Regions from separate parts of the Mus musculus genome. Here all the other regions are reported to be linked to region 1. Evidence: microRNA targets listed by miRTarBase, many of them from high-throughput screens and not tested one by one. Region 1 holds a microRNA gene; each other region holds the end of a gene's coding sequence.

Region 1 (3,000 bases):
TTTCAGAACACAGGCATAGGGGTGATCTGGTCACATTCTTTGTATCTGTTTAATGTTTCCATTACTTCAGTCTAATTAACCCCTCTCTCCTACCAGCTACTGCTACTCTAATCCTAGTTTTATCCTGAGGGTTAAGTTTCCTCTGTTGTCATCATCCCTCCTGAATCTGCACCAACTCTCCCAAGAGTTTTTTGTTTTGTTTTTAAGGTTTATTTACTTTTTTATTGTGTGTGTGTGTGTGTGTGTGTGTGTGTGTATACCTGCATGAGTCTATGTGCACCATGTGTACAGAGCCCTCGAAGGCCAGAAGAGAGTGTCTGTTCCCTCTAGAATTGGAGTTACAGTAGTTATGAGCTGCCATATTGATGCTGGGAACCAAACCTCGTCCTCTGCAAGATCAACCAGTGCTCTTAGCCATCTCTTTAGTCCCATCCCCATTTGTAAATGTCTGAGCCATCTTGTTAGGCTCTTTGAACCCAGCCCAGCTCTAGATGTTGGGGAGAAAGAAACTTTTTTCCTAGGAGGGTTTGTAGTTTGCTTCATCACCTTCTGTAAGAGATCACTGCCTTCACTAATATCAGATGTGCTGCTGTACTTTTTTATTTGATCATTTTCAGTCTCCTTTGGCAACATTGCCCAGTCTCCTCTTTTTGCTAGGATGATAAAGCTACAGTGAGATCTATTCACTCTTGTCCTCCTAACAGTGAATATTGACAAGTGTTGAACTAATTAAATTTTTCTTTCCCAAACAGCTTCCTGTTGAGATTAGTTGACGCGCCCATTTAGTGTTCGGTTAAGGAAATTACTGGATTGGTTGCCTTGGCTACCTGTGCAGCTCTCCCCACTTCCAGCTTGAGTCTTCAAGAGGGAGCCTCAGAACTGATTTCTAAAACCAATTGTACTTGGTGTGATTATAAAGCAATGAGACTGATTGTCATATGTCGTTTGTGGGATCCGTCTCAGTTACTTTATAGCCATACCTGGTATCTTAACACCACAGATCATGCCTGTTGATCAACATTGTAAAAGCACAAACTTAAGGTTTCTAAATGGAAATTTAAACTGGTTTAGCATTCTTTTATGATTCTTTTTAACTCACTCACCAGAGGCAGATGTTAACTTAATAATGCTAGTTTTAATTTTGTTGTCTCCTTTTTGTTTATAGATTTTTTAAGCAAAAATAAACTGGTAAACTACTACTCTAATAAAGTGAATAAACCGTTTTGAATACAGTATTATGCAAATATATATTCCATTGAGCTATATTTTTTTCAAAACTTCTGTTACTGAGTTTCTGTTGTGTCTCATCTTGACTGCTAAAGGTAACAAGAAATCAAAACAAGTGTTTCTAATATTTGTTGACAGAGCCTTCAAAAGGTCAGGTCTGGGGTCTCTGCTTGCTGTTTTGAGAGGGTATTTTGTGTTTGGATGCACAATCCTCCTTCATACTCACAAAAGTGACCTTGGTGAGTAGCTGCTCACTCTGACTTAAAACAGGCCCTTGAAGCCATGTGAGAAAAGGACTTGAAAACACAACTGAACCATCCTTGTAATTAACTTATAAAAGTTGTGCCTGTGGGCAGAACTCTGAACAGCTTTTAGGAACTGAAGGTTTTAGGTATCATTATGGGTAGTAGTCCAGAAAGTTGAAACTTGGGCCTGCCTAGAGGATTTGAGTGCGCTGGGCATGGTTAAACAAGGTGGAAAACTAACATAAAACTCAAGTCTGAGGCTAGCCGAGGCAATGTGAGATGCTGGCTCCAAACTGGGTGGGAAAATTGTTGCGTTTGAGCTCCAGAAGTGCCCTGGAAGGAGCTTTACTGTAGACAGAAGACCAAAGTTAGTTTCAAAGGTTGTTGGTAAAAGATGTTGCCGTTCGGCACTTGTCACTCCATAGCCAAGTGTGTGCCCTAAGAAGTACCCTTCTTTCTGTTTCTTAGAGCAGTCCTTGCTCAGCAGTGCGTGTGAGGATGAGTAGTGCAAGGACCACCTGTTCAGACTGTAAATGACAGTGCTTCTCTGTCAGAACTTTCCAGATTGATTGCTATAGAAAGGTTTTCTACTGAAGACTTAACCTGATTTAGTCACAGGTGGCTGCTTTCACAGTGCTTCTAATGCACCGGTAAGGCAGTTTGTGCATTGTTAACACCACAGTTGCTTTATGCGTTACCTGTTTGGAGCACTGTACATGTTCTCATGCCTGTCAGTTTACACAGCTGCAGCCTCATGTCAGTTGAACTGGAATCTATAAACCTTAGTGAAAATTATGGTAATTTCTCTATGGAGCATATGTGTATATTTATTTGATGTGTCTATGAATTTCAGATGTCACTTTAGTCTGTGTATTTGTTTTACATTACAGGCACGGGAGATATTATTGCTGTCATGATAACAGAATTGAGGGGTAAGGATATTTTGAGTTATCTGGAGAAAAACATCTCTGTACAAATGACAATAGCTGTTGGAACTCGAATGCCGCCAAAGAACTTCAGCCGTGGCTCTCTAGTCTTCGTGTCAATCTCCTTTATTGTTTTGATGATTATTTCTTCAGCGTGGCTCATATTCTACTTCATTCAGAAGATCAGGTACACAAATGCTCGGGACAGGAACCAGGTGAGCTAACCAGTACTCTAGCCAGCCGTAATCCATGAGGATCTTGTGATAATACTTGTTTATGTCATATATTTAAAAACAAGACCAACAACAACAAGATAAAAACATGCCAAGTATGGTGCTGTACCCTGTAATACCTGCACTCGGGGTTTTGAGGCCAGTTGGACTACGCAGGCGTTCCAGGCCATATTCTATCTCAGTTTTAAAAAGAAAAAGAAATGAAAGAAAATGTTGTTCTACATAATCACACTGTAACTATCAAAGTCAGTAAATGAATGTCCTTTCAGTACATTTCCTGACCTATCGGCTCTCTCAGGTTCTCCAGAACTGCTTAGAAGTATCCTTAAGGGCAACAAAAACCCCAGATTAGTTAGGCCAGAATGTGTG
Region 2 (3,235 bases), not on the chromosome of region 1:
CTGACTTTCAGTTCTTTTAATTGTATCTCTTACAACTTCTTAAAATGGAAATAGTGTGGTTTATGTTATATGTTATGCTTTTAAAAAACTATAACTTTGGAACCTGAGAGACATGTCACGTGCTGATTAAACTTCTCTTCTAAGAAGTTTTTGAGGCTCAAAAAAAGGTGATAGTGGAATGAGTTTTCCCAAAATGGTCTGTGAACAAAAACAGAAAATCAAGAAAAGGAGAAGAAAGCAATTCTTTATTTTTCCAAATATATTAGACTCAATAATTTTGTTAGTGTCAACAAAACTTTACCATATATCATCCAAACCAGGACATAATAGGATTTAAAGAGAGGGCTACTTATAATTACACAAGTACAACAAGTATAAACCTCGATTTTCCTGGGCAGACTGGATCCTATGATCAACCTAGGAATAGGGATTAAACTGCAAGTACATGCAGAAATCATACTGTTCCCACACGTATGCGGAAAAGGTCAAAGTGTACTGATCACTTGGATTGAGTTTTGGCAACACTGGCTCTTTCTCGTCAGGTTTTTCACTCCTAATGTTAATCAACTCCCTAAATATCATATTCTGAATACATATCATCCTATACCCATTTCCATTACTACCTTGTTTTCATTTTTCTAATTGAAATGTTGACTACTGAATATTCTCTCTGTGTCTCTCTCTGTCTCCGTGTCTCTTGCTGTCTCTGTGTCTCTGTCTCTCTCCGTTTCTGTTTCTCTTTGTGTCTCTCTCTGTGTCTCTCTTGTGTCTCTCTCTGTATCTCTCTGTCTCTCTCTCTTTCTCTTGCTGATACCATGTACATGTCTAAATCCCCAGGAACTAAACTAAAAACAAAAAAAAAAAACAGAAACAAAAACAATGCCTAGGTCAAAGAAGGCATGCAAAAATTTTGTTAAATGAATAAATTCAGAGAGCATGTTTTTGGTTCTTTGCAATACCAAAAACAAATTAAAATGACTCTCTGAAGAATATTATGGCTCTGTATAGTTTTAAGGTGTTGGACTAAATGATCTATGCAGCTTCCTCCACTGCTAAATATACGATACCCACTGGTCCCCTTTTTCTGTCTGCTAATATTTCATCACCTCCATGTAGCAAATAAGAACATTTGGTGATCAAGGGGTAGGGCAACTGCTCTATTCACAGTGGATGGATGCTAATGTTGATCATTTCTCCAGTAGTAATTCCCTGTTATGTGTTTGCACCTACAGAATTTGGTTGATACAGAGGTAGCCAGAAGATATAGTGGATGATATACTGTAGATGTAATAATTTGCCTCTAATAAAATTATCGCAGGATCACTAAACAATAAGGAATGCTGTGTGCTCAAACCAACCATCAGTGATTTATATATTAATGAAAAGTTAAATCAATTCTGGGCCAAGTTGGATTATTACAAATCCCTCATAAATTGTGTAGGAAAATCTACATTAGTATGCAAAGAAGTACTTCTGCAGTTTCAAAAAACTTTTTTATTCTAAAGCTTTGTGTTCAAGGTATACTTCTGACCAAGTTTGATACCAGTCAGATGTTGGGGGTTGAAAGCTAGTAACACTAAAATTATTCTGAGGCCAGGGATTCAAGGCAACAATAAAAGAATTGTTCAACACCAAGACAAAACCAAAAAATCCTGAGTGTACAAACATTGTCAGATCATTTGATATTAATTTCTCTCAGGTCTGTGCTAAACTCTGAGTGACAGACCTGGAATAGGTTTCCAGACCAGTAAATAGTCTCTCCTTTCACAACAAATGCCAGAAACAGGAGAACAGTGTAAAGGGAGTCTCTGTTAGGCATATGCATTTCCAGCAAAAGAATTTATCATCTGTTTCATTGTGCTGTCATGTCTCCTGAAATATCTACAAGTCTTTATGGATGACAAAAGATCCGGAAAAAAGAAGAAAACATTGGCAACCAACTCATTTGGCCACAGGCACTGTTTACCCTGTCAGTTTCACATAGACTCTGACATAGTCACAATAAGCTACTGACTCTTCCAATGATTCCGCATTTGTTCAGAGCCCGTAGTTTTATTAGAGTACAAAACCAAATTCCAGATATTAGTTAGCTTCAGAATCGATGAGTTAACTAACTTTTACTAACCCCTCCCCCACCCAAGTTCTAGTGACTTCTAAAAATCATAAGAAAAGTTCAGTGATGTGTGCTATGTACCAGCACACTCTAAAATTTACAAATTAAATGCATAATAATGATGTCTCTGTGGTGTCATTTGACACCACCAATCTCTGCTATCTTTTCATGGTAAAGTACAGTTGAAAGATTCCATGACGGCAACAGCAGAAAACATTAAATCAGATTTTTAAGTAACAAATAATTTAAGGCTAAAATATTTGGTATTCATAATCAATGCCAGCAGCCTTTCTAGTCTAATAAAGTAAACATGCACAAGAAATACAAATTTGAACAAAACATCACAATTTTTATTAGATATATATGTTTTTATGGGTATGTTTTATATATATGAGTATTTGTGTGTATGTGTCTGTGCATATGCATGTATGTATGTATGTATGTATGTATGTATGTATGTAATTTTAGTGCCCTGAAAGCTATTCACTCATGTTTGGCTTAATACATATATTAGAAATTATGGGGAGAATATCTCCACTTCAAATATATATTTATATATTTTTCCAGAATATTCAATATAAATATGCCATATATAAATCATGCCATAAAACTAAATGCAAAATTTGCACATTATTGCATGCTTGATGTGATAATACATGCCGACTAGTAGCTTCCTTATGATGTCCTCCCTTCATAACTTATGTTCAGCACAATAATAACACTTCAATGAAGAGTTCTCTGATCTATTTGCCAGGCTAGGATAGACCTCTCAGATTTCATAGGGAGGATTATCTTATCAGCCAAATATTGGACTAATACTAAATCAAAACATTAAATAATGCCTAAAGGGGTGTTTTGCTATGTGAAACGGTCAGAGTTCATTTTTCTTAGTTTGGCTGGAAGATTTCCTTCCATCCTGGTAGGTCCTCCAGCCATCTTTTGAAGCTTTGGTGGCAAATCGGCCACAGACTGGCTCATGGGATCAGATAACATCTTGGTGGTTTTAGAAACCAGTTTTTCTTCCGAGTTGCCAGGAACTGAACTTATTCGTTGGAGTTTCATGGGCAAATCACCCAAACTATAGGCTTTTTCTGAGGTTGTAGAACTCATTCTCAGAAGTTT
Region 3 (3,235 bases), not on the chromosome of region 1:
TGAAGACTGGCCCGGAGAACAGCAACACAGATACTTTGTGGAGGCCTATGCCAAAGTTGGCCCCATTAGGTTTAAAAGTAGCTAATCCCCCCAGTGATGCCGATGGTCAGAGTCTCAAGGTGATGCCTGCCTTGGCACCTATAGCTGCCAAAGTTGGGTCAATTGGACACAAAATGAATTTAGCAGGAATTGACCAGGAAGGCCGGGGGAGCAAGGTGATGCCTACATTGGCACCTGTTGTACCTAAATTGGGCAACTCTGGAGCTCCATCAAGTTCATCAGGGAAATGAGCTTGTTCATCCTCATACAAAAGCCAGGCTGTGAGGGGAAATGAATTTCACCTCCTTTCTCTGTAGGCGTCTGTTTGTTTGTATTATGGAACTATTATCCTTGACTTAATTATGTGTGAATATTGATGGAGAAAGGAGGTGTAGGGTGCTGGTCCTGGTGTTTGAAATTCTGATCATGTTAAAAATGTGTTACCTCACTTGTGGTGCTGGGTCCCCTCATCTTCTCTAAGAAGGTGTGATTCCCTCTTGCCCAAGGAATTCATAACAAGATTCTGGCTCCATCAACTACCTTATTATTTTCCCCTGAGAAAATGCTTGAGACTTGGAATTACTATAGACTAAAGTATAAGTCATAGTTGTTGGCTCCAAAATCTGAGAATTATGATACAGTTGTGTGGGAAAAAAAAAAAAAAAGAACTTTTAGTTACTATTTCAATAGTAGGGCATGGTAGGACTGGGCATGGTAGTGCACACTTGTAATTCCAGCACTTAGAAGACTAAAGCAGAAGGATTGCAAGTTTGTGTCTACCCTGGCCTATCAAGGGGACAGACACACACACACACATACACACTTGTGGGGGCCAGGGGAGTAGGAAGAGAGAATGTTATAGTAGGTAGGATGAATATTATGGAATACCAAAGTGAAGGGATTTTGTCATTCAGCAGACTGTTTCATATCCAGAATAGTTCTTCCCTTACCCTTTCAGTCATAATTAAAAACCTAAGCTTTCTGGTAAAGTAGGAATATACTTTTTACTTTTACTATTAACATACTTATTTTCAGAGACTAAAAAAGACATACTTCTCCCTTATTTCTTGGGGTATCACAAAGATTCATTCATAATACCAGAGATTTCTACTCATTGTTTTTTGGAAGTAGACATAGAGGCAGCCCTTCCCTTTCCCAAATCATGTCACTCAAGAAACAGCTAAAATGAAAAGCAGTTTCTCCCCTAACCAGAGACCGTAGCCAAAATAAAAATTTGTGGGGCTGGGTATTTCCCAAATGAAACCAGCCTCTAGGTGCTTGAAGGTTTTGTTCACTGTCACCTGCACAGGATGTAAAGAAAAGGCGAGTCAGAGTGAGCAATCTTTACCAGGGAAGTAAGGCAGTATTTGAGTCACAAAGTATATTTTTTATCTGCTATCATGGCATCAATGATCTGTAGAGCTTTTTCACTCATTGGCTGTCAGGGTATGAAGGACTGACAACCTGTAAAGATGAAGATATTTATATTTTTGTATAGTTGTTTTCATAGATTTCTCAAAGGATGAAGTTTTCGACCTAGAAGAGATTTGTATTGAGTATAGAAATGTTTCCTATCTAGTTTGTAAATAATCATGGTGCATTTGAGGGGTCTCTCGGGAACTCGTGAGGCAAGAATCACTGTTCTGAAAATGTATAGACTGAGATGTAGCTGCTGCATTTGCCTTTCTTAAATAATTATATTTTGGAATGTAACCCGTTCTGTCTTCAATGACAGGATTTGCTTGTGTTGTAAAAACACTTTAACACAAGTGCTTCCGGTGCCTGGGCTGTGCCTGGGTGATTGTATTTCTTTTACACTACTGCGTCTTTATCCTAAGTCCCACTCTGTATCCTCTGACCTAGGTTGTGAGACCAACTTTGGAATGAATCTAGCCAGTGAATTACTTCTATGTTTGATTTCCTTTTTAGATTAACTCTGATAATCACTAGATTGAAATGATGAAAAACTTACACTGCAAATGGCAGTGGTAGTAAATCTTTCATTGGTTTTGCGCTGCTTGCTCTAGACAGGTCATCAGCACTTAACCTTTCCTGTTTACTACAAAAGCTGATAAAGTAAAAACAGTATTCCTCAGCTTCTCCTCTGTCCCTTCTGTCCTTTACCCAACTGACTTTATCCAATGCCTTAGCCAAGGAGTGCAGCACCTGTCGCCCTTGCTAGCAGCTGTCCTCAGAGACGCTAGTTCTTTAGCCCAGGTATAGTAGTTTCCAGTGGTCTTATTGCCTGTTTCTTTCCCGAGTGTTCTTCTGGCTTCCCAGAGCCCTTTTGGGTTTTGAGAGTCAGACAAGAAACAAAACAAGGGAGTGAATAATCCTCAGGAAACAATGGACCATTGTGGCTTCCGAATACTTTTTTCTCTTTTCTTTCCTTTCCTTTCCTTTTCTTTCTTTCTTTCTTTCTTTCTTTTTTTTTTAAATTTGAAAAAGCATAGAAAAAAAACAGGTCAGGGTTTATTCTTTATTGGAAGATACTTGCCTGTGTTTATGAAAGATGTACAAAGATAGAGATGAGATTTGGTTCAGGGAAAGCTGCAGATGTCATTACAAACTCCCAAGATACATTGTTCTTAAGACAAATTTAGGAGCTATCAGGCCGAATTTGAGGAGGGTTTAGTCTTTAGAACAATCATGTAGTCTTGACAAAAATAAAAAATCTCCCTAAACTCCTACCCTTTAGCATTTCATTAGGAGAAACTGATCTATTAAAATTATATGTATGATTATGAAAAGTGAATTCAAGTGAGAACATTGGAGGAACCTGGAAAAAGCTCCACCCTGACTAAGAAGCATGATCTCAGTCGACCAATAACTCGCCTTTTATACACCTGTAAATACATGGAATGTTTTTAAGGATATAATTATGTCAGATTTAGCATTTTCTTTTATATATTAAATATATATCTTTAATTTCTGCTTTTGAAAGTGATTATTTTTTTAGAAATAACAGAAGTTTGGCAGTTGAAAGGCAAGACATGTGAACCTGAAATAAACCAATTATACTAATTAAAGCAGAATTTGGTGTTGGGAGGTTTGTGCCTGGTTGAAGAATTCTTTATGCCCTCAGACATATTTGAGAGAGGGTTCCATTGAAGAGATCTTTTCTGAAGCTTCTTGACTGGAAAGCTTTCGATCTGTCATTTGGGAAGACCTTTGGTATTCTAGTCCTTGTAGCATG
Region 4 (3,235 bases), not on the chromosome of region 1:
AAGCACCACCTCTGGATGACCTATGAATCAGTGGTCACAGGTTTCTTCCCATTCTTCCTCATTGCTACAGTCATACAACTTTTCTACCGTGGCCGCATCTGGAACATTCTCCTCTTCCTGCTAACAGTGCAGCTGGTGGGCATTATCAAGGCTACCTATGCCTGCTTCCTTCGAGGCAATGCAGAGATGATCTTCATGTCCCTCTACTCCCTTCTCTATATGTCCAGCCTCTTGCCAGCCAAGATCTTTGCTATTGCTACCATCAACAAGTCTGGCTGGGGCACTTCTGGCAGGAAAACCATTGTCGTGAACTTCATTGGCCTAATCCCCGTGTCCATCTGGGTGGCAGTTCTTCTAGGGGGGTTAGCCTACACAGCTTATTGCCAGGACCTGTTCAGTGAGACCGAGCTAGCCTTCCTAGTCTCTGGGGCCATCCTGTATGGCTGCTACTGGGTGGCCCTCCTCATGCTGTATCTGGCCATTATTGCCCGGAGGTGTGGGAAGAAGCCAGAACAGTATAGCCTGGCTTTTGCGGAGGTGTGATATAACCTCCAAGTAAAGTGGGAAATGTGCAATGGGTAAGGGAGGGAATGGAAAAGATGGGGTGGGAGGGAGGAGGGTGTGTTGTGTTCTAGTTTCATGGCTGAAAGGACCGATCTGAAACGCAAAGAATAGTGACTGTGGTATGGCCTGGGTAGCTCTGCTCAGCAGAAGCATGGCATTGGGCAGATGGGCTTGTATGTTTCTAGGCTGCTCATCTGCCTGCCCTTGCACAGGTAGTGAACTCTTTGAAATGATTTTACTTCTTCCTGGGAACTATTGAGAACCCAGAAGTGTGCTAAAATAAGTGCTAAATTCCATCCTATGTCAACTTCTGGTACAGAAACAAGCAATGACAGCTCATAGAATATATCCTCCTAGCCCAGCTGAACATGACAAGGAGTTCCTGTCAAGTGTTACTGTCCCATACCGGCTACTGTCCCATTTCCCTAACCTCCGATTAGCCATCAATGCGTTAAGACTGTGCCTGAGATAATGAGGCTGGGAAGCCTGACCTTTGGTCAAAAAACAGGGTCTAAGAAATGGTGCTTTATGTAATTAATATATTCCACTCCACACCAAAACATCCCAGGGATGAGCCAAGTCACCAGAAGTAAGGAATGAGTCTGGTGGGGATTTTATCTGTTTTGGGTGCACAGTACAAAGCAAAGTCTGCAATGCACCAAACAAAAGCCGCCCAGTTGTTCTGCTGCACATTTGTCATCCCAGCACTTAGAAGCAGAAAGAGATGAGAGGGTCAGGGTTAGGCTAGACTACATGAGATCCTGACTGTCTCATACAAAAATGGTTTGACGGGAGGATCAAAGATTGCGTTGGTGCTAAAAACCATGGATGCCTTGGAGTGAATGTGTTCCAACTGAAAACTGCTTGGTCTTTTACAAAATTCCCCAAGTTGTCAAGAGAACTTGCTGGGCAGACTGGATGTTTTAGCCATCTACCGGGAAGACTCAACCCCAGTGGATTCAGATAAGAAGTCTTTAGTTATTCTAGCTCATTCCTACCTGAATGCCTCTCACATATGGCTCTCATCCTGCTTGCTATTTCAATCTCTTCAGAGCCGCGCATGTCGCTTAGTTGTTGTTTTCTGGTGGGGAGAGCAGCAGTTACCTCTTCATTTTCATGGGTAAATTCCCATGTGACCATGGTAGAGAATAGACGCTTACAAGGCTTTCAAGGCTGTTCCCTACATGCATGGACGTAACAACAGCCTCTGGCCACACTGTTCATCGTCCAGGACTGGTCAGGACTTCGGCAGCTGGTTAGTTAGCATCTGTAACTTTCTCGACAATCATTCCCAAAGGAAAGCTTTCTGGAGTTGCCCAAATGAACCTTCAGATCCATGTTGGTCATCTTTGAGAGCATCCATTCTCAGTGGCTTCTCCAAGGAATTCTACGGCTAGAATAGTAGATGCACCTCCATTTGCTGCTTCAGTCCAGAAACCAAAGTAGGAGCTGGAACCGGTCCAACAGTCTTCAGTCCTCTTACAGCCCTCACTGGCTGCCGATTTCCTTGTTTCTCTTGAGGAACGAGGAGAAGCTTTTACACTCTTTTGAAGTCAAGACCAGATTGCTTTGGCATTGAAGCGTGGGCTCGTGACTAAGCCTTTGACTTTGTGGGCTACTTACAATTTCCCTGAACATTTGTTCTCTGAGGGACCAGCTAACCCTCAGAAGCAACTGGGTTGGAGAGCAGTGTACATAGGTGCTTCCTACAAAAGAATGAAGTGCACTCCAAACCACCAATGGGCCATCCCTTGTATTTCCCTTCCTCGTATGAACAAAAGGGGTTTTCCAGGTGTAGCTAACAGTTGCCACAGCACACAAACCTCAAGTTGCTAGGAAAACTGCTGGCTGGTGTGAGGCCCAACTCATGGTGGCTGAGGAGCAGCAGCCGTTTGTGACAGGCAGTTGCTCTGGGGCCTTCTGTTAAGAAGTGAACTATTTGAGCACTACAGTGGAGACAATCCAGTCAACTTCGGGGCTCAGACTAAGGGCTTGTTTTTCTTCAGCTTTTACTTGAAGGTTACAGGACAATGGACTCTGGATGAAAACTGGTTGTCTACCGTCAGCTCTCTGCCTTGCACTGTGGTCAACTCTCCTCAGATTAAAGATGCAGGTACAGTAGTGAGCTTACAACATTTGACCTCGACTGGATTTCCTAATTTATTTTATAAGCAGCAAAACTAAACTGGGTCTACAGCTATATCCCTGTTTCTTGCAAGGGAAGAGCCTTTATACAATTAGACTCATTTTGGTTTTCCTCATTGACAATTTCAGCCTCTTTTGTATTATTTCTACAATAATTTGTATATATTTTTTCCTGCTTTTTTATTAAATAAGGAGGGAACTTTATTTAACATTAAGGGTGGGAGGGAATCAGAAAGGAGGATAATATTCATATCATGCTCTTGGCACAGCCACTGAGCACAATGCACAGGCCTCGTGACTCTTAAGCAAAGTCACAGTGTACAGGTGTGCAGCTGGAGCTCATCTTCTTCAGCTAAGCTTTTATCCGCGGTTCTACCTTCACCTTGCCTATGACCTGCAAAGTCCAGGAGGTGCCCCTGTTCCTCCAGGTTGCCAGACAGGTCATAGGAACACCTCAGAAAGTGTAGAACTCTACCAGGACCCTTCTCAGAATGATCCTTCTCTGCTTCACAATCTCTGCCATCTT

Evidence for each region. Region 1 holds the annotated microRNA mmu-miR-340-5p (UUAUAAAGCAAUGAGACUGAUU, at 912-933, shown strand). A microRNA usually pairs through its seed, bases 2 to 8, with sites in the 3' UTR of a target mRNA and lowers its output. Matches are read on the target gene's strand: a 7mer-m8 pairs with bases 2 to 8, a 7mer-A1 pairs with bases 2 to 7 and ends in A, and an 8mer does both.
Region 2: miRTarBase lists Kcnj3 as a target of mmu-miR-340-5p. The part of its 3' UTR that is shown has no 7-base or 8-base seed match.
Region 3: the mRNA of Mga is a reported target of mmu-miR-340-5p. The part of its 3' UTR that is shown has no 7-base or 8-base seed match.
Region 4: miRTarBase lists Has3 as a target of mmu-miR-340-5p. Seed matches in the 3' UTR shown: 7mer-A1 at 2,729-2,735 and 7mer-m8 at 2,792-2,798.

What each region holds. Positions count from the first base shown.
Region 1 is chr11:50,068,809-50,071,808 of GRCm38, forward strand. It overlaps Mir340 (microRNA 340), which reads left to right and starts at 894; the gene lies at 894-991. It overlaps Rnf130 (ring finger protein 130), which reads left to right. Exons shown (of 9, transcript NM_021540.4): 3 at 2,363-2,613.
Region 2 is chr2:55,595,134-55,598,368 of GRCm38, reverse strand. It overlaps Kcnj3 (potassium inwardly-rectifying channel, subfamily J, member 3), which reads right to left. Exons shown (of 5, transcript NM_001355118.1): 5 at 224-3,235. The coding sequence ends at 2,972. Among named protein-coding and RNA genes, the nearest start is that of Kcnj3, 160 kb to the right of the region's middle.
Region 3 is chr2:119,964,676-119,967,910 of GRCm38, forward strand. It overlaps Mga (MAX gene associated), which reads left to right. Exons shown (of 24, transcript NM_013720.2): 24 at 1-3,235. The coding sequence ends at 290. Among named protein-coding and RNA genes, the nearest start is that of Mapkbp1, 6.4 kb to the right of the region's middle.
Region 4 is chr8:106,878,286-106,881,520 of GRCm38, forward strand. Has3 (hyaluronan synthase 3) reads left to right here. Exons shown (of 4, transcript NM_001331048.1): 4 at 1-3,235. The coding sequence ends at 543. Among named protein-coding and RNA genes, the nearest start is that of Has3, 9.1 kb to the left of the region's middle.